7 linked regions of the Coturnix japonica genome follow. The protein of the gene in region 1 interacts with the protein of each later gene in a biochemical or structural test. Links are inferred from orthologs where the notes say so. Each region holds a gene or a part of one and is shown in the gene's direction. Other genes may lie near its edges. The genes, in order: ERBIN, ACVR2A, KCNA4, plasma membrane calcium-transporting ATPase 4, ARVCF, ABCA1 and PKP4.

What was found.
Region 2: the proteins of ERBIN (region 1) and ACVR2A interact in a test that uses a peptide from one of them, tested with the Homo sapiens proteins (2 studies listed by BioGRID and IntAct). The link is inferred for Coturnix japonica from reciprocal best matches to the Homo sapiens genes ERBIN and ACVR2A.
Region 3: the proteins of ERBIN (region 1) and KCNA4 interact in a test that uses a peptide from one of them, tested with the Homo sapiens proteins (3 studies listed by BioGRID and IntAct, with this or other methods). The link is inferred for Coturnix japonica from reciprocal best matches to the Homo sapiens genes ERBIN and KCNA4.
Region 4: the proteins of ERBIN (region 1) and plasma membrane calcium-transporting ATPase 4 interact in a test that uses a peptide from one of them, tested with the Homo sapiens proteins (2 studies listed by BioGRID and IntAct). The link is inferred for Coturnix japonica from reciprocal best matches to the Homo sapiens genes ERBIN and ATP2B4.
Region 5: the proteins of ERBIN (region 1) and ARVCF interact in a test that uses a peptide from one of them, tested with the Homo sapiens proteins (3 studies listed by BioGRID and IntAct, with this or other methods). The link is inferred for Coturnix japonica from reciprocal best matches to the Homo sapiens genes ERBIN and ARVCF.
Region 6: the proteins of ERBIN (region 1) and ABCA1 interact in a test that uses a peptide from one of them, tested with the Homo sapiens proteins (2 studies listed by BioGRID and IntAct). The link is inferred for Coturnix japonica from reciprocal best matches to the Homo sapiens genes ERBIN and ABCA1.
Region 7: the proteins of ERBIN (region 1) and PKP4 form a complex in vitro, tested with the Homo sapiens proteins (4 studies listed by BioGRID and IntAct, with this or other methods). The link is inferred for Coturnix japonica from reciprocal best matches to the Homo sapiens genes ERBIN and PKP4.

What each region holds. Positions count from the first base shown.
Region 1 is NC_029547.1:14,171,919-14,175,418, reverse strand, and holds part of ERBIN (erbin), read left to right. Parts: intron 1-13; coding exon 14-129; intron 130-986; coding exon 987-1,056; intron 1,057-2,052; coding exon 2,053-2,152; intron 2,153-2,329; coding exon 2,330-2,451; intron 2,452-2,959; coding exon 2,960-3,130; intron 3,131-3,500. UniProt on the Homo sapiens protein: Acts as an adapter for the receptor ERBB2, in epithelia. By binding the unphosphorylated 'Tyr-1248' of receptor ERBB2, it may contribute to stabilize this unphosphorylated state.
Region 2 is NC_029522.1:31,390,548-31,394,662, reverse strand, and holds the start of ACVR2A (activin receptor type-2A), read left to right. Parts: upstream 1-1,315; 5' UTR 1,316-2,632; coding exon 2,633-2,687; intron 2,688-4,115. UniProt on the Homo sapiens protein: On ligand binding, forms a receptor complex consisting of two type II and two type I transmembrane serine/threonine kinases.
Region 3 is NC_029520.1:5,299,640-5,303,139, forward strand, and holds part of KCNA4 (potassium voltage-gated channel subfamily A member 4), read left to right. Parts: coding exon 1-1,378; 3' UTR 1,379-3,500. UniProt on the Homo sapiens protein: Voltage-gated potassium channel that mediates transmembrane potassium transport in excitable membranes. Forms tetrameric potassium-selective channels through which potassium ions pass in accordance with their electrochemical gradient.
Region 4 is NC_029541.1:4,896,788-4,900,287, forward strand, and holds part of plasma membrane calcium-transporting ATPase 4, read left to right. Parts: intron 1-181; coding exon 182-217; intron 218-1,689; coding exon 1,690-1,851; intron 1,852-1,959; coding exon 1,960-2,174; intron 2,175-2,261; coding exon 2,262-2,504; intron 2,505-2,628; coding exon 2,629-2,870; intron 2,871-3,199; coding exon 3,200-3,434; intron 3,435-3,500. UniProt on the Homo sapiens protein: Calcium/calmodulin-regulated and magnesium-dependent enzyme that catalyzes the hydrolysis of ATP coupled with the transport of calcium out of the cell. By regulating sperm cell calcium homeostasis, may play a role in sperm motility.
Region 5 is NC_029530.1:988,908-992,869, reverse strand, and holds the start of ARVCF (armadillo repeat protein deleted in velo-cardio-facial syndrome), read left to right. Parts: upstream 1-1,162; 5' UTR 1,163-1,543; exon of another isoform or gene 1,544-1,609; intron 1,610-1,769; exon of another isoform or gene 1,770-1,915; intron 1,916-3,962. UniProt on the Homo sapiens protein: Contributes to the regulation of alternative splicing of pre-mRNAs.
Region 6 is NC_029547.1:48,638,351-48,641,850, reverse strand, and holds part of ABCA1 (phospholipid-transporting ATPase ABCA1), read left to right. Parts: intron 1-450; coding exon 451-582; intron 583-1,090; coding exon 1,091-1,230; intron 1,231-2,575; coding exon 2,576-2,713; intron 2,714-3,257; coding exon 3,258-3,478; intron 3,479-3,500. UniProt on the Homo sapiens protein: Catalyzes the translocation of specific phospholipids from the cytoplasmic to the extracellular/lumenal leaflet of membrane coupled to the hydrolysis of ATP.
Region 7 is NC_029522.1:33,189,955-33,193,985, forward strand, and holds the start of PKP4 (plakophilin-4), read left to right. Parts: upstream 1-1,231; 5' UTR 1,232-1,366; intron 1,367-4,031. Other genes in the region: CCDC148 (coiled-coil domain-containing protein 148), read right to left, coding at 1,046-1,088. UniProt on the Homo sapiens protein: Plays a role as a regulator of Rho activity during cytokinesis. May play a role in junctional plaques.

The sequences.
Region 1 (3,500 bases):
TTTTTTTTTGCAGATTGGAAATTGGAAGCACGTAACGGTATTGTTTTTGCATTCAAATAAGCTTGAGTTTCTCCCAGAAGAAATGGGTGACATGCAGAAATTGAAGGTCATCAACCTGAGTGACAATAGGTAATTCAAGTAAAAATCATGTAAAATGCAATAGCATTGAGTGTACTTCAGTGTAACTGATATCTGTCACCCAGATGTAAGTAGCGGCATTTTTCTGAACGTGCTGTGCTACCTTTCGTTATATCCCACAGCTTATAATCTGACTGAAATGCATGTATTTCATTTACTGTTTATCGATTTTATGAAACTGTTCCTTTGAATTAGGCATATGTTTGATGATTTAAGTAAATAGCTTCCTGTATTGCATGTAGGGGACAGAGAACAGAAGTGTCACAGTATGTGATAAAACACATGTGCTGGGCAAGAAAGAGGAAGGACATGTTTTTAATTAAAGCTGGTCAATAAAAACTGGCAAAATAGGCCTTTTTGAATTCATCAATTTGCAGAATTCAAATGTATTGGGAGAGATAAATTTAAATTCTCCCCCCTCCCTTTTTTTTTTTTTTTTAAACAAATCCAGTTCCTTTGTACTCTACCCTAAGCCTGATTTTATTCACATTTTATTCAAAAACAAAAAAACCCCACAATTTTAGTTGTGACCCTTTTTTCTTAATTTTTCTTAATTTTAGTGCACGTGTATATTGAATATACACGTATAGCAATAAAATTGCTGAGGATTCTTCTAATAAAATAAACAGTCTTGATCTTAAGTTCAGTAGCTGATTTATATACAGTGCTAATGGCTGTCTTAAAAATTGTGTTCAGGTTGTTGACATGAGATAAATTCAGTTTCCACTGTCTTTTAAGCTGCTTGCTGGAATAGGCAGGAATGCGTATCTAAAAAACAGAATGCCATTCTACTGTCAAGTTGTAGTATTGAAAAGTGTGTTTTCATGAACTTTTATTGTAATTTGCAGGCTGAAGAATTTGCCGTTTACCTTTACAAAACTGCAGCAGCTCACTGCTATGTGGCTATCGGACAATCAGGTGAAATTTTCTGGGAGAAAAATTATAAAAAATGGTTGACTTTATTCCTAATTGAATCAATATGTGATCTTTTGAATTTTGAGTGCTTTGTATGTGCATAAGTACTTCCTTGACATTTTGTCCATTCTCTCAAAATAAACAATATTGGGTTTAATATCCTTTAGAGCTTCTCTGGCAAAGCTTTTATATGAAATACAATTTAGCAGATGTTGGAATTTCTAATTTGTTATTTCTTAAAACCAGAAAGGTGGTATTTGATAATTTGTTAGTGCTTACACGCATATGGTATCGTTCTGCCATTATAGAAAATTTGGATAACCTTTTTTGTGGTAGGTTGCTTGCCTTACCTTTGAACTTCATGGCTGTCCATGTTTCAAGTTATTGAGAAGTAACTTGTGCGCTCGTGCCTTCTTTAATTCCTTTGTACTCTACCAATTTCCTGAATGGCACTAAGGCTTACAGGGATTCCAGAAATTCATGGATCTCAAGTGTGGTATAGTGGAAGATTTATAAGGAGTGGGAGTTATCAGTCTGATATCAATATTTTATATATATTTAATATATATATAATATATATATGTATATATATATATACACACACACACACATTATATATGTGTGTGTGTGTGTGTATATATATACACACACTTACATTAAATATTTTATTTATTTATTTATTTATTTGGCTGTCCATAGGTGTAAATGACAAAGTATATCTGTGCATCCCAGAACAGCTTGGTTTGAGACAGTAATAAGTCCTAGCAAAAATAGTTGCTTTTTTTTTAAATATTCAGTTTATTCTCTTGAAGTTGTTCTTTCCATTCCCAAGACAGTCGTTTACTGACATATATTAATAACTTCATTCTCTGAAAATTATTCAGAGGGTAAATGATTGAAGACTGCTCTGCCTTGCATTCTATAAGTTATGTGTAGATAATCTTTACTTTGTACATACAGATATTTTCTTAATGTGTCCTTCTTTGATTTCCTTCTTAGTCTAAACCACTTATCCCCCTTCAAAAAGAAGCTGACCCTGACACACAGAAAACTGTGCTTACAAATTACATGTTCCCCCAGCAACCAAGGACTGAGGATGGTAAGGATTTCTTTTTCAGCTTACAGCATTGTTAATTTGTTTCCTTTTCAAGCATAAATTTAAAAAACAAAAAACAAAACAAAACAAAAAAATCCACCTAAGAAAAAGAAGTAAAAGAGGAGCTTTGTTTTGTGTAATGCATGCTGTTCTTAAATGTGCCTGTTTTTTTTTCTCTAGTTATGTTTATATCTGACAATGAAAGCTTCAATCCATCTTTGTGGGAAGAACAGAGGAAACAACGTGCTCAGGTGGCATTTGAGTGTGATGAAGACAAAGATGAGAGAGAGGCACCACCTCGGGTTAGTATTTATTTTTTACCATGGTTTTTCTCTCTCTCTTTTTCCCAATTGCACACCTGACTCCCATCCTTTTTATTCCTTTGACTGTGGGTTTAGCTCTGATGAAGAAATCAAAACTTCATTTATTAGCTTACGAGCATAAAACTGGACTATTTTTTTTTCCTCATCATTAAAATGGAGCATATAATTATGAAATTGCTGGACTGGTGCTGCTTCAGGAGAGGGATAGTTGAGAAATAATGGTTAATTCTGATTTTTATTTAGATATATTATAGTTGTCATTACTCTTCCTGCTTGTTATCAACAGACAAATATGAAGCAAAAATAATTGATTTGTAATTTTGCTGGGTTTTCTAAAATTGTGTTAATCTAGGTAGACTCAAACTGCAAAATGGAGATTCTAGGTGTTGGTCTGAATGTTTTGTTTGAATCCATTGTCTATTTTAAAGCTTGGTACTTTAATTAAAGCGTTTAATTAAAATTAGATTATTACTTTTTTATAACACAGGAAGGCAATCTGAAGAGATATCCAACTCCATATCCTGATGAGCTGAAGAATATGGTCAAAACAGTCCAGACAATTGTACACAGGCTAAAGGATGAAGAGTCTACTGAAGATGTTGCCAAGGAATCAAAACGAGAAAGCCAGACAGTTTCTGTAAAAGATGTGGGGGTAAAGGTTAGGTGTAATACTATCTTCTGACTTCACTGAAACTTCCAAATGTCTAGATTGCCATTGATTCTTTTTAGTCTTCTCTCTCCTCATTAATGCTCCACATTAAAGAGCAGGGCTTACCTCTTTGTCGCCTTAAGAATCACAGAATGTCAGGGATTGGAAGAGACCTTGAAAGATCTTGTAGACCTAATCCCCCTGCTGGAGCAGGAACACCTAGACCAGGTCACACAGGAACGCCTCCAGGCGGGTTTTGAATGTCAGTGAAGAAGGAAACCCTGCAGCCCCTGTGGGCAGTCCATTCCAGTGTTCTGTACCCTCACTGTGAAGAAGTCTGCAATAGTTACCTGCTTTGTAGTAGAGATTTCCCTCTTAA
Region 2 (4,115 bases), on another chromosome or scaffold:
TGTTACACAGGTGGCATATTTGTGCTATTATATCTATCTATCTATATATATAAACACATACAATGGCAATATTTTTAGCTGTAATTTCCTGCTCATGTGGCAACACGACAAGCATCCCGAAGAAGCTGAGCAAAGTGAAAACGCAACCTGCAGAACAGGTCACGTTTAAATACTCTGCTATTGAAGAATATTAAAAGCTACAGATTAAGTAGGAGTGTTGTAATGCATTAATTAATGCTTGTAAATCATCCTGAAATGCCTGGATTAAAAAAAATGGCATAAAAAGTGTTGCCACACATCCCGGTGCTTCATGATGCGCACGATCCCATACGGCTTGTTTGATTTTGGGGTATTTTTCCAATCAAAAACGTCACTGGAGGATGACTTTGTGTTGGTGTTTGAAGTGAGGATCATAGAATCATTAAGGTTAACAAAGAGCTCTGAGATCCCCATGTGGACCCACCCCCCATGCCCACATCCAGGGCACATCCATGGGATGGTAACCCCCACCCGGTGCAGCTGTGCAGTGCCTGGCTGCTCTCTGGAGAACAAATGGCTCCTCGTATCTACTCTGAACCTCCTCCAGCACAACTTGAGGCCATTACCCAGCCTTGACTTACGTTTGGTGGCCCTGCCAGGCAGAGGGGTTGGAACTACATGATCCTTGAGGTCCCTTCCAACCCGGGTCATTCTGTGATTGACTTGCAAACCCACACATGTGAATTACCTCGCACACAGCACCCAATGTAGCACCACGTAACGACAGCTCCCCACCAAGGGAACTTGGACCGTAACCCTCCAATGCACATCTATAGTTAGTGATGTAGTTATTGAGAACTTGGTGCTTCTTGCTTCAGAAATACAGAAGTTAAATCCCAGCGCTGAGGCCTTTGTGCTTCCCCACATCAGTCCTCAACACCTAAACAAGCATTTCTTTATCCCTGATGCAAACTATGGGCATCTATTAAAGCCACCAACGGGGCATTAAATAAAGGAGGGCTTCCCACCGCAGTCGTTACACAGAGCAGCTCTGAGGGCGGCGCGAGCACCACGCCCTGAGGCGGGAAGGCGGGGCGCGTGCACGCAGCCCGCTCGCGCGCCTCCTCAGCCGTGCGCGCGCACACGCGGGCAGGTGGGAGGGGAGGGGAGGGGGGAGCGCGCCCCGCCCCCTCGGGGTGGGTCTGGAGGGGGGCGGGGCCGAGCGGCGCTCCTCGCGCTGTGATTGGGCGGCGCGGCTGTCAATCCGATGCGGCGCGCTCTCGCACGGCGTGTCTTGCCGGGCTGCCGTGAGTGTGGAGGGGAGGGGGGGGAGGGGGAGGAGGAGAGGAAACAAAAACAATCGGCCGGGCGCCGCCATCTTGGGTCCGTTCTCCACGCCACACAAGTGAATGGGTAGATATGAAATTACCACAGGGGAGCAGCGGCAGCAGCAGGGTACGGAGGGTCGTTCCGAGCTGCAGGTTGGACTTGGGAGACTTTAGAGACGGCTCCAACCACCAGCACCGCCCGCAGATCGAAACCGGGCTCGGCCTTTTCTCCTCGGCAACCCTCAAACCGCACTGCTGGAGGGACAAAGTTGGTGTCCGCCGCTCTGACAACGGCAAAAGGGAGACGGGAGAGACCAGCCGAGATCCGAGCGGGACGGGAGTGAGGCGGGAGGAGAGCTAAGGACCGGGAGATAAGGACTGAGGGCTGCGAGCTCAGGGCTGAGGGCTGGGAGCTCAGGGCGGCACGAGGGCTTCTCCTTGTCAGCCCTTCTCCTGTGGGCCCTTCTCCTGTCGGTCCTGCTTCTCTTTTGCGTTTATTTGTTTGTTTTTCCCTCAAAAGCAGCAGACTCGTTGCGGGGCGATGTCCCCGGGGGCTGCCGAGGGAAGGGCCCTGCGGGCGGCCGTGCAGCCCTGAGCGGCCCCGCGGAGCGCAGCCACCGGGAGCCGTGCCTGGCCTTGCCGTTGCTTTGCTCTTTATTTTCTTTATTATTATTTTTTTCCCTTCATTTTGCGTTTAAATACCAAGCCGAGTCTCGGGGGAGCTGGGTGGGTGGGGGGGGCATGGAAGCATCGTAGGGGGAGGAATCGTCGTAGAGGGGGGGAATCGTAAATCGTGTTTCCCGTAGCGGAGCGCTCAGCCCCGCTGCCGCTCGGACTGTCGGAGCGCTGCCCGGAGCCGCCATGGAGCCACCGCGCTGCCCGGAGCCCCGCGCTGCATAACGGGAACCGGGACATAGAGCGGGGAAACACGGAGCTTCATGACGGAGTGAGCGCCGATACACACCGCCTCGGATCGCACCCGGCGGCTCCGCCGTTGACTTCAATCAATCTTCCTTTATTTGCCGTGGATTCGTAGCGTACTTTTGTGAATTAAATCCCGCCGCTCTTGGTCCAGAAGCCAAATGACACGTGTGTTTTGAAACGCCGCTCACAATAGTTCGAGCCCCCCCGAACCCGGATTCTCGCTTTGAAGCGACCGTCGGTCTCCAAACGACCCCGATTTTACTGTTTGGTGAACACTATCAACGGAGAAGTTTGCTCTAGATCGCTTTATAACGGTTCCGCAAGAAGAGGGGATTGTCCGGCTTGCAGGACCGAGAAACTGGATGCTAAAAGTCACTTAAATGTTCTAACGCCATTGGAAAATGGGAGCTGCTACGAAGTTAGCGTTCGCTGTTTTTCTCATCTCGTGTTCTTCAGGTGAGTGCGTGCTTTTGTTGCTTTGGGCTCAGCTGTTGGAAGCACGAGGTGATTGTATCGGTGGGACGAGAGGTCATTTCTTGAGATGAGGTTTAGGTTGGATACCAGGAGGAAGTTTTTCCCCCAGAGGGTGGTGATGCACTGGAATAGTTTCCCCAAGGAGGCTGTGGATGCCCCATCCCTGCAGGCATTCAAGGCCAGGCTGGATGTGGCTCTGGGCAGCCTGGGCTGCTGGTTGGTGACCCTGCACACAGCAGGGGGTTGGAGCTGGGTCAGTTTGTGGTCCTTTTCTATCCAGGCCGTTCAGTGAGTCTATGAAATGCCAAACGTTTGGGGATGGCAGTGAAAGATTCCTGTTCTCACTGTCATTCCCCGGTGCACAACTCTTTCAGGTACGTGCAGTGCTCATAGTGCTCGTGTGGGTCCCACCCGGGGCTGTGCCCACCTCGTTCACTTGTGGGCAGTTCCCGGCCTCGTGTTTGCTCCAGTGGATTATTTACCAAGCTGTGAAATATTCCGAACTTAATTTAGGGCTCTGGAAGCGTCCAGCGGTGGATGGCAACCTTCATTAATGCTTCATTAGTTCGGAATAATTGCTGTTGTGAAAGCATGAGCTCATCCCGCACCGATAGCGAGGGCTGAGCACGTATCGGTGCGTGCACCGAAACAGCCCGAAAAGCCAGACTTTCCATTTCCGAACAGTGATTTGTGTTCAGCTGTTGGGTTTCGTGTTTTGCCGTTCGGTTTTTCACTTTCTTAGCGCCTGAAACCCGGCGGTCGTGCTGTGGCTCTCAGACCTCAGAGACGAGCGGTGTGAGAGGCTCCATCCTTTGGGCTGGGAGGGAAATGGTGATGGAGCAACCGGTGGCTGGAGAGCTGCTGCCACCAGCTGCACCTGAAACCTGCAGAGCTGTGTAACACTCGATGTGTTGCTCGTGTGCTGAGCCTGACCCTTCCTGCTCACGTGCTGAATGTGTGTGCAGCCCTCTGTGTGTGTGTCGATGCACTTTTGGGCTCTGTTCTGTGCAGTGCAGGGACACACTTGTTGCTCATCCTGAAGGCCGGCTGGCTTTGTGCGGGACTGCTCCAGGGCGGTAATGAGATCTGCAGAGCGATGATGCCTTTGAAAACTTCAGCCTTAGGATGCGAGGGATTTTGCTGAACGGCACATTTTCTTGTGGTTAGTAAATGGATAGTCTAGTCTTGTGTCTGTAGTGTTATTGATCAGTTCCGTGTGGGCTAAATGTGCTGTGAAATGGCGATCTCTGCCAGGGAGAAACTGAAAAAAACCCTTTCTGTTTTAAGCAGACAAATAGCAGGGCAGGTTAGGGAGAGATGGGAGTGGTTTTTTGGGTTATTTTTCTTCAGATTAGAGTACGCCATTTATTCCTATTGCGAAACAGCAGGCGATTTCTTGCAGTGATTTTG
Region 3 (3,500 bases), on another chromosome or scaffold:
AACACAACTGAAGACATTGGCTCAGTTCCCAGAGACACTGTTGGGTGATCCAGCAAAGCGAGGCAGATACTTTGACCCTCTCAGAAATGAATACTTCTTTGATAGGAACCGGCCCAGTTTTGATGCCATACTGTACTACTACCAGAGTGGTGGTCGGCTGAAGAGGCCAGTCAACGTACCCTTTGATATCTTCAGTGAGGAGGTGAAATTCTACCAACTTGGGGAGGAAGCCATGCTCAAGTTTAGGGAAGATGAAGGGTTTGTCAAAGAGGAAGAGGACAAAGCTTTGCCAGAGAATGAGTTTCAGCGCCAGGTCTGGCTCCTCTTTGAGTACCCTGAGAGCTCCAGTCCAGCCAGAGGCATCGCCATTGTCTCTGTCTTGGTGATCTTGATCTCCATCGTCATCTTTTGCTTGGAGACTTTGCCGGAGTTCAGAGATGACAAAGAATTCATAATGTCCCTGAGCTCAGGGAAGGGTCTTTCCAATGAGTCGCTTCACTTGGATGCTGGGGAGCACACCATCTTCACTGACCCTTTTTTCGTTGTAGAGACACTGTGCATCATCTGGTTCTCCTTTGAGCTGCTGGTGCGTTTCTTTGCTTGCCCCAGCAAGGCAGATTTCCTCAAGAACATCATGAACATCATTGACATTGTGGCCATCATCCCCTACTTCATCACCCTGGGCACTGAGTTGGCTCAGGAGCAGGGCAGTAATGGTCAACAGGCCATGTCTTTTGCCATCCTGAGGATCATCCGTCTGGTCAGAGTGTTTCGCATCTTCAAGCTTTCCAGGCACTCCAAGGGTTTGCAGATCCTGGGTCACACACTCAGAGCAAGCATGAGGGAACTCGGCCTCCTCATTTTTTTCCTTTTTATTGGAGTAATTTTGTTTTCCAGTGCTGTTTACTTTGCTGAGGCTGATGACCCTGAGTCTCATTTCTCAAGCATCCCTGATGCTTTCTGGTGGGCTGTGGTGACCATGACCACTGTGGGCTATGGGGACATGTACCCCATGACAATTGGTGGCAAGATCGTGGGGTCCCTGTGTGCCATCGCGGGAGTGTTAACCATTGCTTTACCAGTGCCAGTGATTGTCTCCAATTTTAACTATTTCTATCACAGAGAGACTGAGAATGAAGAACAAACGCAGCTGATGCAAAATGCAGTCAGTTGCCCTTACCTCCCAACAAATTTACTGAAGAAATTTAGAAGCTCGTCATCTTCATCCACAGAGGATAAATCAGAGTATTTGGAGATGGAAGAAGGAGTTAAAGAATCTCTTTGTGTAAAGGAGAAAAAAAGTCAGGACACGGGGAATAGTAGTGAGTCAGAGAAGAAAAACTGTGTAAATTCAAATTCAGTGGAAACTGATGTGTAATTTACAAATATATTTATTTTATGTCTCCAAATATATTTATGCATTAAAGAGTGCGGTGGAAATAATGAAATATGCAAACGAGTCCACAGCATACAGTAGTATGCCATTTTAATGGTTAAACACAAATAAAAAAGCATTGTTAAACTTGTAGAACATATCAAGTAAGCGATATAACTCGAGGAAGGGGTTGCTAGATCTGATATAACTTCAGACTGTATTTTTTTTCTAGAATGCAAGTGTTTTGCACACGAGGCTGAAAAATTTATTGAAACCAAGTCAGTTTTAAAGTCAGTGCATGAACTGTTCGACATCACTGCTAACAGCTCTGTGGTAAAAGTTGGCATTCAGAGGTATTTACTATGTAAGAAGCAATGAACTTTGGAAATCATTTATCTATTTATCAGTGCTTTAATAGCAGCTACCATGAATCATTGGATACCATAGTCTTTGTTTTTCAAATGGTAAATTTATTGTATAAAGATATTCTACAGAAGATAGATCTAATTTTTTTTCTTTTTTTTTCTTGGAACCTATAATGCTTGTTTTTAACTGGAAATTTTCTTTGAGAAGGCTGCTGAACCTCCAGAAATGATTTATTTTTATAACTCTCTTTGGAGGCATTGCAGCATTTGTTGTCTAATAATGAAAGAAATGAAGTAAGAGAATTGTTTAGCCTGGTCTGACTGCAAAGGCAAAATGACTGGAATGCTTTTTTGCACTACTTTATATGCTGGAGTTATATTGAAAGAGACTTCATACTGTGAATGTTTACTAATGTAATAGTTCAATGACAATCATTGGAAGAGTGATCTGCATCATATTTTATGGCTTTTTTTTCTGGTTTGTTTATTTTAATTTTGTTTTTCCTTTATGTGATGCTGATGGCAAAATGGCTAACATTACATTAATTCCATACTCTTTTCATTATGAATATCTGTGATCTGGAAAAGGATTGTGAAGTAAAATTTTATAATCAAAATTATTTGAAATCAGTGTTTTCTAGTGATGTTCTCAATTAAGATTAACTCCATGTTCATATTTTTGCCATGTTAATTTAACTTTGAGAGTTAATGTTTAGTACATGCACTTACCAGTATTGAAGTAACTCAATGTATAGGGACAAGAAGTAAAAGTAATAGGATACTCAGTTGTTACAGTACTAGCAATTCAGAATTACTAACAGTTAACATGTTATTGGTGCTACATTTTCCTCAGTTACAGCTTCCACCTTTCAAGCAAAATTTTGGATCTGAAACAGGAATTTAGGGATTCAAAATGATTGTGTTGGGTCCTTTGTAGTCCTTGGGAGAACATTCCATGAATTCTTTTCACTTATTCTTTGACCAGCTGTATGTTTGTGTCAAAAATGTCCACTGCCCTTTATAGGAGATTAAGGTAGGTAAAGATTACCTGACCTACAGCACATTCCAGACTCCAGAATTAAATAGCTAAGATATTCCTGCATTTAACATAAATAATAGATTCAGAACAGGTGTTTTTCAGACGCATAATTACCTAGGGAGGTAATTGGAGCTGTTTTTGAGGCACTGTGAAACATTCCAAATTATAAAACTTGAACCAAATTGGCATATGTACTTTAAGGGCTGGGACAGGACGTTGTGAGACAGAAGAGTGCTTACAAACACTACTGAATTACAGTGGTTTTGTGATATTCCTTTAAAGGTGAGGAGGGAGTTTGCTGGAGAGAACTATTCAGTGATTTATAGTTCTGGTGCTGAAAAGCAGAAATAAAACCTGTCCAAATTGAGTAGCTGTGATGATATGCATCATCTACCAGAAAGGCATTGTTTGCTGTCTCCAGCATCCAGTGATACAGAACAGAGCCATAGCCAAAGGATTTTACTTAATGATTGAGTTTTTGGCCTTTATGGATTTTCTGTGAATCAAATTTTGGAAAATTTTCTCTGCTTGCCTACTATTGCACTGCAGAAGTCATAGTAAATATATAAATAAGCTCTGAGAAGACTGCACTGTACTGAGCCCTGATTTAAAACTTGTGTATAAATATCCAGTTCATAATTTTAAATTGTAGAGGAGGCTTCAACTCTTATTTCTTCTGTGAAGCATTAAACAAGGCTACTTTTTAATATGATAATGTGAA
Region 4 (3,500 bases), on another chromosome or scaffold:
GATTGCCTCTGGCAGGTGAGGTGAGCTGTCTGGGGTCCCGCATTCAGTGCCTGATGACAGTGAGCCCACAGCAGAGGTGCTGCTGGAGCAGTATGTGTAGCCCCTTGGAGGAGGGCTGACCCTTCCTATCCCTCTGTCTGGTCTGTGTGCTCAGCCCTGCACCCTTTCTCTCTTTGAACAGGTAAAAAAACCGGAGCCCCTGAAAATCGCAACAAAGGTAACCAGCCTCTCCATCCTTTGAACCAGCACCACACTAACTACAAAGCATTCCTCCTTCCTTCTTCTCATGAGTCTGTGCTCTTTGCTACTCTGGCGGGACTCTCGCCTCGTTTTCCTGGGAGAGGGTGCAATGGTCCCACAGCTCCGGCACAATGGGATCAATGCCCCATGGCCTCTGCTTGGGGCGCAGTCTTTGGGAAGGGAAGACAAGCCTATTCCTGGCAGTTCAGACTGCTGGCACAGCATCCCTTGGTGCAAAGCAAGTCCCTATTGACATGACCTAGTGGCTCTGAAGCATTTGTGCTGCTTTCCTGCAGGGTGTGTATTTTGGCATGGTGGGGCAAGAGGCACAGGTCACATCCTCCTGGGATAAATCTCCTGTGAGACCCGGCCTGTGTGGTGGTTGCACCCTCTCCTCCCATGGCCTCGACTCCGTGAGCGTCTCCTCGCCGGTGTTTCTCACCCTGTTCTTTGCAGGCTGTGGAGGAAGCCCATTTCTGCACCTCTCTCTCCACCCCCCTCTCTCTTTCTTTCCTCTCAGCAGTTTTGCCCTCCTTCCTGCCAGATGTGTCTGGGTGCTTGTTTTGTCCGTGTTGTTGTAACTGTGGAGGTGTCAGGGCAGCCTGGGGCTGTCTCTGACCATTGAGCAGTGGCTGCCAGGAGGGGATGGGTCCTGGGGCTGCTGTGGGGTGGTTTTGCTGCTCCCCCAGCCCAGCAGATCTCAGCCTTTGCTCCACCATCCCACCCCATGCCGCCCAACCCAGCTGGGATTTTTTAGCTGAGGGGAGGCCATGGAGCTGGGCTACGGAAGCCTGGCCTTTTTGGGTCCTAAGAACATAATGGACAGCTTGGGGCTGGGATTGTAGGAGCTGGTTCACTCCTCTTTCAACTCCTTTGGAATGTCTTAACTGTTCTCCTCCATCTCACCTCTCCAGTGCTCTTATATGTAATGGATTCCTGCTGAGCCTCCAGAAGGGCTTTAAAAAGGGCATTAAACCGCAGAAGAGGGGTACAGAGCAGAGAGAAGTCCTCTACAAGCTTGACCCACTGTGTTGTAGCTGGGGTGGGGTCTGCTGGTGCACTGGAGCTGCTTTGGGGCAAACCCAGCATGCTTTTCTTGTGCTGCAGGGTGTGAAGCAGCTGGGGAGAGGTTGGAGATGTCCTGCCTGTGCCCGGCAGCCAGGTTAGGGATCTCTGGCAGCACTTCTGTGACCCATAGCCAGCGTCAGCCCCAGGACCCTTCCTGCATGGGGCTGGGGCATGGGGTAGATGTAAAGACTGCCCCATAGAGAGGCAACAGGGCCCCAGGACAAGAGATTTCCATGTGCTCGGATATGTGTGTCATGGAGGATGGTTTGTGCTCTGGGTTTTCTCTCTTTCCCACCACCGTATTTCTCAGTGGTGTCCTGCAGATCTCCCTGGTCTCTCTCCTACTCACACGTGGTGTCTTATTTTGCCCTGGGGCTGTAGCTAAAACTCAGGATGGTGTGGCCTTAGAGATCCAACCCTTGAAGAGCCAGGAAGGGGTGGAAAATGAGGAGAAGGAGAAGAAGAAAGTGAAGGTGCCCAAGAAGGAGAAGTCTGTGCTCCAAGGGAAGCTGACGCGCCTTGCAGTCCAGATTGGGAAGGCAGGTGAGCCATCACCCCGGGTGTCTCACTGGAGGTGGGACAGTGGGAGGGGGCTGATCCCTGCTTGCCATCCCTGTGTCCCCTCACTTGCTGCTTGGCATCCTCTCCCAGGGTTGATTATGTCAGCCATCACGGTGATCATCTTGGTGCTGTACTTTGTCATCGACACCTTTGGGGTACAGCGTCGGCCCTGGCTGGCAGAATGCACCCCCATCTACATCCAGTACTTTGTCAAGTTCTTCATCATCGGTGTCACCGTGCTGGTAGTGGCTGTGCCTGAAGGGCTCCCACTGGCAGTCACCATCTCCCTGGCCTACTCAGTGAAGGTGAGACCAGTAGGGGCATGGTGGGTGTGGAGAAGTGTGATGGGAATGTTCAGGCTTTTGGCTTTAACCTTCCTGGTCATGCTGCAGAAAATGATGAAGGACAACAACCTTGTGAGGCACTTGGATGCTTGTGAGACCATGGGTAATGCCACTGCCATCTGCTCAGACAAGACCGGCACGCTCACAATGAACCGAATGACTGTGGTGCAGGCCTACGTGGGGGACACCCACTATCGCCAGATTCCTGACCCTGAAGCCATCTTGCCCAAGGTCCTGGACCTCATTGTCAATGGTGTTGCCATCAACTCTGCCTACACATCCAAGATCCTGGTGAGTTGGCTCTTGAGAACCACAGCCTTACGTTCCCACTGTTGGCCATCGCTACTGCTTCCATCCCACTGTGTTCTGCAGTGCCCAGGTTTGACATTTCTTTTCCTTTCCCTTTTTCCTCCAGCCACCAGAGAAGGAAGGGGGGCTACCCCGGCAAGTGGGGAACAAGACAGAGTGTGCCTTGCTGGGCTTTGTGCTGGACCTGAAGCAGGATTATCAGGCTGTGCGGAATGAGGTGCCAGAGGAGAAGCTGTACAAAGTCTATACCTTCAACTCTGTGCGCAAGTCCATGAGCACAGTACTCAAGAACAGTGACAACAGCTTCCGCATGTACAGCAAGGGAGCCTCTGAGATCATCCTCCGCAAGTAACTGTCGTCCCCCCCCTCCACGCTGAGTCCTCTCCCCAACCCACCTGCCCCATGGACTTTGAGCTCTCAGAGCGGTGTTGAGCTGTTCTGGGGGATTGCAGGGTGAAGGGGACCCAGTGCTTGAGGAGGGGGGAAAGAAAGTGTGAGCATCAGGAAGTGCTGCTGTGCAAAGTGTTAGCTCTTTTTAGGGTGTCTCTAGTAAGGCTATAGGGGTACTGGGTGAGAGGTACTCATTTTACAGATGGGGGAAACTGGGTGGTGGAAGGAGGGGACTGCTGAACAGCCACAAGCAGTCTCCCTTACTCTCCTGTCCTGTCCTGTGGTAGGTGCACCAAGATTCTGGACAAGAATGGTGACCCCCGGATGTTCAAAGTGAAGGATCGAGATGAGATGGTGAAGAAGGTGATTGAGCCTATGGCTTGCCATGGGCTGCGGACCATCTGCCTGGCCTTCCGTGACTTCCCTGCTGACACTGAGCCTGACTGGGACAGTGAGAATGAGATCCTGTCTGACCTGACGTGCATTGCTGTGGTGGGGATAGAGGACCCTGTGCGGCCAGAGGTACTGTGGCCCCCATGTGGCTCTGACAGCCCATCACCCAGCTGTGCTCCTGGTCCAGGAGCCTCT
Region 5 (3,962 bases), on another chromosome or scaffold:
CAGCACAGCGAGCTGCAGGCGACGCCCGCCCTCATTACCTGAGGAAGCCCCGCCCCCCGCGCGCTATTGGACAACGGCTCCCCCGCCTCTCCTCCTCGAGCCGCCATTGGCTGGATCCCGCGCCCCTCAGGGTGGGCGCTGAGGGCGGTTGGCGCGCAGGTGAGCCCGGCTTTCACTGCACACAGTGTATGATTCCACCGCGGGAATGGAAGTTGTGAATGAGGAGTGTTATGTGGGAATGCCTCCAAAGGAAGGGCGGAAAGGCCGCGATTGCTCTTCTCTACGAGTAATAAACACCGTATACACAAGAGATTAAACGTTAATGGAAAGAAAAGACCTTCTAGGGGTGTACGAGTGTGCAATGTGGTCTCTGAGGCGAAACCTCTCATCTGGAAAGCAGAACTGTGGCGGTCGGCAGCCGGCCCTGCCTTCAGTGCCACAGCGCGACCCGCATCGTCCCCACAGCCCTGAGAAGGGACGGCAGCGCTGCCCGGCAACAAGGCTTGTTCCGTGCCCCCGTCCCAGCAGCGATTCCCGTTCAGACACTGTCCGGGGCCTCCGAGCTGCTCACAGAAACCAAGAGAAGCGGCCGTGATGTCTGATATAACTCTGATGTCTGTTATAACTCTGATGTCTGTTATAACTCTGATGTCTGTTATAACTCTGATGTCTGATATAACTGTCCTGCCTCGTACCCGCTGCAATACGTTACGTGGGACGCACCGGGCGCAGCTCCAGCATCCTGTCAGCACTGAGCAGCGGCTCCGTGTCGCCATCCCCATCTGTAGGCGGGGACGGGACCTTCAGGGCCGGCTGGACGGGCAGCTCACGTGACGGAGCCACCTGACGCGGCATTAAATCATCCCGGCCCAATGGAAGCGGACGAGCTCCCGGCCCGGCCCGTCACGGCCCGTCACAGCGCACAGCCCGTCCCTCGCCCCGCACCGGACGAGCTGTGTGAGCTCCGTGCGCTGAGCGGCCCTGAGGAACCTCCCGCCGCCCGCCGCCGAGGGGGCGGGCCGTGCCGTGCCGCTCTGACTGACGGCCCCGTTGGCCAATGCGGTTTGCGGCGGGGAGCGGAGAGAGCCAATGAGGTTCTGGTTGCTGAGCGCGAGCGCGGAGGCAGCGGCCAATAGGAAAATTCGCGGCTGCTGGCGGCGCGCGCCGGTTCGCGCGGCTGCTGCGGAGGGACAGAGCGGGGAGCGAGAGCGGGGCCGCCCCTCAGAGCCGCCCCTCAGAGCCGCCTGTGGGGAGGGACGGGGCCGCTGCCGTCCCCCCTTCATCGTGAGCGGCCGGAACGATAATGCCCCGATTAAGGGAATAAAGAGTTGACGGGCGGTAGCGGTGCTGCCCGGGGCCCGCGCGAGGGGCCGCGGCTGGAGGCGCTGCGCTCCGCTCGGCAGGTCGCTTGTTTTCAATGCGGCTGTCAGTCAGCGCCGCCCTCGGAGCTGCAGGACCGGCCCGAGCCGCACGCGGCAGCCGAAACCCTCGCGGCGGAGGAACGCGAGAGAGAAGGGCTGAGGGACCCTCCCACCTGCCCCGGGTACAGATGGGCCCTTTGTAGCCAGGGTCGGGCTGGGGGCAGGACGTTCCCGAGCCGCCGCGCCGGGTGAGGAGGAGGCGAGGCCCGGGGGAGCGCGCGGGGCGGTGCGGGATGCGCTGCGGGACCGGCGGTGCGGGGTGATGCGCTGTGCTGTGCTGTGCTGCGGGGCTGTGCTGTGCTGTGCTGTGTTGTGCTGCGAGGTGCTGTGCTGCGGGGTGCGGTGCTGCTCTGCACGGCTACTGCCGAGCGCTCCGCTCAACGGCGCCGGGTGTTTTCCCTTCCCTGTACGCCGCCTCCCGGACACGACGCGCAGCCGGCGGCAGCCAGCGACGTCAGCCCGGGGCCGAGGAGCGGGAGAAGGCGGAGGAGATGGTGAGCGGGTGGCGGCGCTGGGCGGTGGATGGGCTCGGAGCGGTGTTTGGGCTCGGAGCGGGGCGCGGGGTGCGGCGCGGCTGGTGAAGGATTTTGCGCCGCGATCGCGGAGCAGCCTCAGCCTTCTTTGTTCGCCGGAGATCGGAGCTTGGGGCTGATAACGGCGTGTATCGCTTCATTGCGGGGTACGCGGGGAGGAGTTGATGTGTACGGACGGATAAAAGCGCATCTGCCGGCCGCACGGCTGAGCTGCCCCTCAGCACAGCGCTGTGACATCGCTCGGGCTGTTTGCGGCGGGCGAGATGGCTGTGACCGAACGGAGCGGATCTGTTCCTTCACAGACGTGAGATCCGCCACAAACTTAAGAGCCGAAGTTGGGTGCTTTCCTTCTTTGCTGTCTCCTTTTCCCTTCCTTTCATTTCCCTGCAGCACTACATGATTGAAATCTAATGCTTGCAGAACTTGGGCACAGCTCGGTAACATGCTCACTTCACTCATACCCATAGTAAGGGCTGCCGTTATCCTTTTGTTTTTTAGATGTACGCGCTTCTTTGTGCATGTGGAAGGGGTAATTCCTATACGCCCTTTGCATTGCACTGCTGTGCCTTAGGCAGCTCACAGTACAGCGTGAGATTCCCAGTATATAATAAAATCCTTGGCTGATAAATTTCAGTCAAGTGCTGACCTGCTGATGCTGGTAGTGCCGGGTGCGAGTTTCTGTGCCTAACAGCACTGCTTGCATTACTGAGAATCCTGATAGTAAGAATCGTGATCTCCATGATGGAGTTGTGGCATTGCTCCCTGTACCTCCCGCGATGAAGTGCTGCAGGCTGCATTAAGTACATCGCTCCTTTCAGGATCCATAATTCTCAACATATGTTGTTTACACATTGGTGGAAGGCTGTGTGGTGTGGGGCAGCACTCAGCTCAAATTGTGGTGGCTTCAGGAATGTGACTGCAACAGAGACAACTGCAGCTTCACGTTAAATCTGCTTGGGAAGGGCTGTTTTGTTGTCCTCAGTAAAGCAGGGCATACCCAGCGCTTGGAGTAACTGAAAGGGCTGCGTAGCTCCGGAAAAATAAGTTGTGAACTCTGCAGTGCCTTCCATCACACAGACTGCTTGGATGGATGGACGGCTGCTCCATTTATTTTAAGCAACCTCTCTGTAAATGCTTGTCTAAAATATTTAAATTACACGCTCCATTAGGCAAATGGGTTTATCTTCCCTTTGCTTGGCTAAAGGAATGTATGAGGAGCGCAAGGTTTAGCAGAACAGTGCTGTCACAGTGCATACTTTCACTGCGTAGTTTATCTTCGTGTATTGTCCAAAGGTACTTAGAATGTATTTTATTTGACGTGTGATCTTTACAAAGTTGACTTGGATTTTACCATCTCGGCCATAGTTGCTGTCAATGTAACTGGCATTCCATGAATGTAACCTGCCCTTGGATTTGACCTGGTATTTAGCTGGGATTCATGACAATTTTTCACCTAGGGCAAATATCAAACTAGTTAGTGACATGCAGTTGTTTTTAATATAGCTCTCAGTTAAAATGTTAAGCTTGATTCTCATCTGTTCATTTAAAATCCCTGCAGCAGCTTTTAGTCTCTGAACTTCTTTAATATGGGAAGAACCGGTAACAGTTGTGAAGGGAGAGACATTGCCATTGTATTCAGTCAGGATGTTGCATAGAAAGGGCACAATTCCTGCCGTGTACTTTGTGCAAACATATTTTGTACAAACTGCAGTTTAGAGTAGGTGTCTTACCATGCAGCCCATCTGCATGCATGTTAGTTATATAAAACTAAGCTGCTCTATGTGCTTTTATGCAATACAGCACATGACTTCTGCAGCGTTTTTGGTGGGTTTTTGGCATTGTCAGAATTGATGCGTTGTGAGGGAAAGCTGCTCAGAGCTCTTGTGGCACCAGGTTCATAATTTGTTGCTCTGAATATTTTATGATGTGAGTATGAAGCTCTGGAACAAACGCTGTAAACAAATGCTGAAGCAGCCAAGTGTGAGATGACGTTTAGCTTTAGTCTTTA
Region 6 (3,500 bases), about 34 Mb from region 1:
GAGATCCACTGATGGTGCTTCGCTGATTTCAGAGGAGCTTTGCTGACTTACTCCAATTGTGCAACTGTTTAGAAGATGCACAGATACAGAGAACTGAAATGGGGAAGGTCATTCAGATTGATGCTGTGCCTGAATGCATCTCCTGGCAGCATTTTTTAGTAATCTCATTTGTGATTCTGACTTATCAGTGAAAGGAAATGAACTGAGCTTGAAAGGATGGGAAGCTTTTAGAGAAAAATGTATTTCCTTCAAGCACCACCATGCGGGTGTGCTTTGATCACTGCATTAAAACCACTGGAGCCAATTTTTCATCCATTAGTAATATGCATCTCTTGGACTGCTTCCCTAATTTGGGAGCTCCCAAAAGCTTTCACTCACTCTTCACTCATCCATCGTATCACGTACAGCAGCCACTTCTTAGTGCTGGAATCTGTTGTCTTTGTTCTTCAGGTCCATCTTGACTGGCTTATTTCCTCCTACTTCTGGTACTGCCTTCATCCTGGGTAAAGATATCCGCTCAGAGCTCAGCACCATCAGGCAAAACTTGGGTGTCTGTCCACAACACAACGTGCTGTTTGACTTGTGAGTAACATCCATCATATGCGGGGCTGGTGCTATTGAAAGTTTGGGTTCCTTAGGAAACACTAGTGTTACATGAGCTAAGACAGCTATATCTTTAGCTGTGGCAGACAGCAGGGTGGTGTGAGATTGGTATAAGAGTGTTGTGATTATTAGTGGGTTCATATGTGACTATGAATTATTGACTTGAGCATGCAGTCTCATCTTTCTCCTCTCTTCAGAGAAATCCGCTACATTGAATGTAACTTGGCTAAATGGCTTAACACTGCCCACTGAATTGGGATGTTCTGGTTACTTTATTGAGCCCTTTAAAAGGAGTATTATTTGCCGTGGTGCTGAATAGCAACATTCTGAAATCAAGCCGTAACTGAGCACACCCGATCTGTAGCTGCTTTCTAAAAACTCAGGATTAAAGTTGTTTACCTAGGCAAACAAATATGCTTTGTGTAGTGCTAATGCAAGGATGAATTCCAGCTCACATCTGTGCCCTGAATTTGCTCTTGTTCCCTAGGCTGACTGTGGAAGAACACATCTGGTTCTATGCTAGGCTCAAAGGGTTGCCAGAAAAGAAGGTAAAAGAGGAAATGGAGCAGATGGCAATGGACGTTGGTTTGCCTCACAAACTGAAAGCCAGGACGAGCAAACTCTCTGGTAGGTTCATCAGCTTTTATATTTGTCAGCAGCTCCCTCAGCTTCAGAAAGGCTGTATCAGTGAGGGCCTGACGGAGGCTACATCACAGATTTTGATTGGATCCTCTGGTCAGATACGTAGGCTGCCACACATTGAAAAAACTAGTTATATATTAAGTACCTAATCATAATAAATGTTAGTAAACTTAACAATCTTATAGTATTTATGTTATCTAATACTGTAAAAAAAAAAAAAAAAAAGCAGTCACTTTTTCTGAGCATTCTGTACTTGTTTCCATCTTGACAGGGGGCATTCCCTCACACCATGGAATCTGTTTACCTATAATATAGCTGCCTGTTACATATATTCTCCAAATGCTAACTAGAATATTTGGTTTTTACAGGTTTAGGTGGAGGTGTCTCAGACCCTAACCTTCAAGTAACTTAACGCCTATATCATAGAATCTCAGAATGGTTTGGGTTGGAATGGATTTTGAACATCATCTAGTTCCAACCCCCCTGCTATAGGCAGGGATGGCTCCTGCTAGACCAGGTTGCTCAAAGCTCCATCCAGCCTGGCCTTGAATGCTTCCAGGAAGGGGGCATTCACAACTTCTGTGTGCAGCCTGTTCCAGTGTCCCACCGCCCTCACAGTAAAGAATTTCTTCCAGATGTCTAGTCTAGATCTACCCTCTTCCTCTTTAGAGCAATTTCCCATCATTCTGTTGCTACCTGCCCTTAGAAAAAAATCCCTTCCAAACACTGTGAACACTGTGCATTTCTTATATAGGCTTTTTTTCCCAGTTGATATCTTTCCCCCCTTTTCAGGAATATCAGGATTCCTGAATCAGTCTGTGCCAGGTATCTGGGGACTGGGACTGTTTTGTCTCTGACTCAACTATCAACACATTTGGCTTCAGTAAAGGAGAGCAGATAGTCAAAGGTTGGCTTCACATTGAAGAGCATAATATGAAATATAATGTCACTGCTGCCTCTTACACACTCCCACTGGAGGGGAATCTCTTTGGGCACCTGTTCCTACAACTCAAGCTTTTTCAGACCTGCTCCAGATCCTCAAAATTTGGTTAGGCATCTGAGCAAAGTGTGTGGTACTGCTGATGCTAAGATACATATGATTCATTTATAGAGGGGTTGTTGGTTTCCTGTAGAGGAATTGTGCTCTGCTGGGGAAAACTATCCTGATGAATTATTCTTTGTCCTGAAGGTGATGAGACCCTGAACGCATAAAACGGTATCAGCACTCAGTCTTCTCAGTGCTCTATTTTGATTTTTCTTGGAGAGCTCAATTTTCACTGTTCTGTTCTTTGCATCAGCCTGACCCCCTGTTTCTTGTTGTACCTTTCAGGTGGCATGCAGAGGAAGCTCTCAGTTGCCTTAGCCTTTGTTGGTGGATCCAAAGTTGTCATTCTGGATGAGCCCACAGCTGGAGTGGATCCTTATTCTCGGAGAGGGATATGGGAACTGCTTCTGAAGTATAGACAAGGTTTGTGGTCTTTTTTTGTGCTCCTAATGTAACAACATTGTGAAAAGCAGAAGAAAATCAATCTCTGATTCACAACTGTTCCCAAAATAGCGGTTTGCCTTTGCAAATCCATTGTTGCCTGTGTTGAGAAAGGAACAAAGCTTGCAGGATAAACACATTCTGCTCTCACCTGTCCTCGTCTTTCATCCAGTTCATGTCAGAGTTCACTGAACAAAGCTACTCACTGGATTGTCGGGATACTTAAAGACAGAAGGTCATGCCTTATGTGCATCACTGTCCTGTTTTATTGTAGCCATGATTGCTGATACTGAGTTAACCTACTTCAGCTGAGTGTAATGATGATGTGCAAAGGGTGGGGACAGTATACCTGTGACAACAGTTGTGACACTTTCCCATATAACTAACCTTGTTCAAACAAGCTACAACTTGGAAAACAAACCTCCCATTCAACTTCATGACAAAAACCAGATGGAAATGGCCTTTCTTGGCTTGGAAACATGAGTGTAGTTGACATACTGTAGTGTCTTCCTTTTCTTTCTTCCAGGCCGCACTATCATCCTCTCCACCCATCACATGGATGAGGCAGACATTCTGGGAGACCGAATTGCCATCATTTCCCATGGCAAGCTCTGCTGCGTTGGTTCTTCTCTTTTCCTGAAGAATCAGCTGGGGACAGGCTATTACTTGACCCTTGTCAAGAAAGATGTAGATTCCTCGTTGAGCTCCTGTCGAAACAGCAGCAGCACAGTGTCCTATCTAAAGAAGGTACAGTGAGCTCCTGCTGGTT
Region 7 (4,031 bases), on another chromosome or scaffold:
GTCCACTGCCCTCTGCAGCAAAGCCTTCCCCTCACTTCCACCTGACCCCCCACATGCTCCAAGCTGTTCCCTTGGGCACTGTTGCTATCACCATAGAGCTGCCATATCACCATAGGCTGCCACAAGGCCACTCCTCAGGCTCCTCTTCTCTGTGCTGATCCAACCCAACTGCTCCTCACGCGTGTTCCTTCTACACAGAAGCATACAGCACTGGAAATGAGCAAGGGAAACTGGAATTTTTGGCCCAGTCTAAGGGTTATGATACCACAGGCTCAGTGAGTCAGCAGGGCACTGTGCACTGCTGCAGTGCTGAGACTGATGGCTCAGACTGATGGCTTAGAATGATGGCTTAGAATGATGGCTTGGAATGATGGCTTGGAATGATGGCTTGGAATGGTGGCTTGGAATGATGGCTTGGAATGATGGCTTGGAATGGTGGCTTGGAATGATGGCTTGGAATGATGGCTTAGAATGATGGCTTAGAATGATGGCTTAGTCTGATGGCTTAGAAGGCCAATGCCACCCTGGCTGCTATCAGGAATAGTGCAGCCAGCAGGAGCAGGAGGTGTTTGTCTCTCTGTGCTCAGCTCTGGTGAGTTCAGGCTGGACATTAGGAGCAGTTTCCTCACCAAAGGAGTGCTCAGGTGCTGTAATACTGCCCATGGGGGGTGGTTGAGTCCCTGACCTTTGGAGACGTCCATAATGTTCAGATGTTGTATTAAAGGATGTGATTTAGTGGGGAAATACTGGTGGTAGTGGACACTTGGTCTAAATGGCCTTGGAGCCCTTTGCCAACCCTGGTAATTCTATGATTCTGAGAGATATTTTTGGGGGAGAATGTTGCAGGTCACACAGCAGCAGAACTAAAATAAAGATAAATGGGATTAATTTCAAATGAAATAACGCTGAAGGTCGCAAGCAGCAAGCTGAAAGGCCAAGAGATGGCAATGAGCCACCTTACATAGCCTGTGCCTCCCGTATGCTCAACAGCAATGCTCAGAAATACACTTATATTTGTTAATATACTCCAATATCGGACACTTACCGGCCGTGGAGCGGCCCGGCTCTCTGTGGTGAACACCCGGCATCGCGCCGCCTCACAGCATCGTTAACCATAGCAACCTCAACTCCCCCCTCCATTGGCGAGCTCATCGCGACGCTCAACCAATCCCGTGCCGTCCTGAGCACCGTACAACCAATAGGCGTTGAGAGGTGGGCGGGGCGTAGCGTGACGTACAGCGGGAGGCGGAGCGAGGCCGGGCGGAGCGGGCGGAGGCGCCACAAGCGCTTCAGCCGCCGCCACCATGGAGACCCCGGGTTAGGGCCCAACCGGACCGACGGGCGGCCTCGCCCGCCGCCGCCTGCGGTGAGTGGGACAGCGGGGGGAGCTGGGCCTTGGGCGGGGGGCGGCGGAGCTCGGGGCCGCGGCGGGCCAGCCGCCGCGGCCCCGAGCTCCGCCGCCCCCCGCCTTGACTCCGTCCGTCGCAGCGCGGAGCCCCGAGGCCGCAGCGTTTGAGGCGGAGCGACGCGGCCCTGTGTGTGTGTGTGTGTGTGTGTGTGTGTGAGTGTGAGCACGGCGGGCATGTGAGCACAGCGCACCTTTGCACCGCGCCGGGATGCAGGGCTGGCCATCGAGGTGTGGTCTGCTCTGCGGTACGGCTGACGTGACGGTGCCGCGCTGTGTCTGTGCCTTAGAGGTCAAGGGAAGAAGGAGAGAGTTGCGTTTTGCTGTTCGATGGGGGAGATTCGTTTGGCCATTGCCGGGCGTTGTGGAGGGGCTGCTCTGTGCTCAGCCGATGGGGAGCATTAATAATTGCACTCTGCACTCCTGCTCGGCTTCACGTGGTTGTTAAAGTGTACACACAGAGGTTGGATCCGAGATGAAGGAGGGAAGATTTAGGTTGGATGTTAGGGGCAAGTTCTTCACTAGGAGAGTGGTTAGGAACTGGAACAGGCTACACAGGGAGGTTGTGGATGCCCCGTCCTTGGAGGTGTGCAAGGCCAGGTTGGACGGGGCCATGGGCAACCTGATCTATGGGGTCTCTATGGGGATCTATGGGGTCTCCTGGGCAACCTGATCTAGTACATGTGTATATTTGGTGGCCCTGCCAGGCAGGGGGGTTGGAACTACATGATCCTTGAGGTCCTTTCCTACCCGGGTCATTCTGTGGTTCTGCTGGATGTTGGCAGTACGTTTGAATGGCTTTGTGAGTGCTGCCTTGGTTTTGTTGGGCTTTATTCATTGATTTATTTTTTTCGGTTGTGCTGAAAATGAGCAATTTCTGCAAGTGTTTCTCTGGTTGTTTGGAAGAAAGCACCTGTTCCAGGGTCGGGGTTAGCAGGAAGAGGCTGTTGTTACAAGCATGAACAATAATTGGGTTTGTTAGCAGAATACAGTGATACCACGTAGAAAAGTGCCCTGGAACGGAGGTGTAGCTCTTGGTGCTTGAGGGGAGGGCCTTGTGATGTCAGCTGCATTTTGTATTGCTCTCATCTCCTATTTATGTTCTTAGTATTTTCCATCAGTGTCCGGGTTAGCACCTGTGTGTACCAGAAGCTTCTCGCTCAGATTCATCCCAGGGTCAATGGAGCAGAGCAGCCCCAGGGCAATGAGGCCCGGTGTCTCCTGCTGTGCTGGTGCTGCTCTGGAGCTGAGGGCAGCCCTGGCTGTGCCCGGGGTGAAGGACAGCAGGGAGGTGAGCTGGGAGCAGCAGCAGGAACTGTAACGTTTGGTGGGAAACGTCTTGTAAGAGTTACTGCAGAAATGGGGTTTTGTTGCCATGTATAAAACACACGGTGCATCTCCGTGATCAGCTCCTGCTGCAGTGGCTCCAACTCCTCGTACTTTCAGGAGTCATTGCCTTAGTTTCTGCATTTCGTTCAGCCACGTGCTGTTCAGGAAGAGGGAAGAACCACTTAAATTTCAGTCAATTGATGTTTTCGTTGTTGTTTTGTTTATTTCATTTTGAATAACGAAGGTCCTGAAACTATCACCAAAAGGAGAGGCTTAAGGTGGAAGTTCTCTCCATGGCAACTGGCAGCACTTGTGGAGCACAGGGCACACACACCTTGGGCATGTGCCGGGCTGGGCAGGGTGACGTGCAGCTCGGTCTGACTCAGCTCTTGCTGAAGGGCTGCGGCTCCAGGGCTCCAACCAGTCGGGCTGGTTTGCGGCTGCCAGGAGCCCAGGGAAGCTCACGGCCCAACTTTACCTTCCTTCCAACTTTACCTTCCCAGGTCTCGTCGCTTCCCTCTGTTCCAGGCAAAGGAAGGCAATAGCGTGTTAGGGAAAGTCAGAGGGCTGGGAAAAACCACTCTTAGTGTTTTTAAACAGGATGGCTTTTAAGCAATTCTGTTGTTTTCAGATATTTTTGATATGCATGCATCTCTTTCCCTATTATTGTTTTCTTCCCTCTGAACAGAAGAGCTAAATAAAGTATTCCTATCACCTCCTGTAGGTACAGAAGGAAAAAACAGCGAAGTACTGTTCTCTCTCCTAAATGTCTCCATGGTCATCTCTCGTGGATCTTTCTTCCCACCCCTGGTCCTTTAATTTGCAAAGCATAGGGAAGCAAAGACCAGCCAACCTCCTGCTAATTGGCTTTTTCAATCAGAGTAACTGTGCCTTTATTTTAGCACACAGAATAAAACTACCAGCTATTACTTTCTGCGGGGGATTGATCCATCATTTAAGAGGAACTGAAGTTAACCTCTTTTCTCTCCCATGCTCTGGGATCTGTTCTTTATATGAGATGTTATCTGGGTGCTTTAACTGAAATGTGGTGAGTTTCTGTGAGCCTTAAATCAAATCTGTAGCTAACCTCGTGTTCTGTGATTTGATATTAAGGGGAAGAAAGAAATCTGTTGTAAGTCCTTTGAAGATGTACGAGCTGCAACTTGTCTGCTTCGCAGCTCAATGGGGGGATTTTTAATGTAGTTACTGTTTATGCAACCATAGGCTAATAATTATGGGCAGTGAGTAAAATTTACCCTCTAGCTATTGGATCCGCAAAGCAAAAGCTTCATAGATA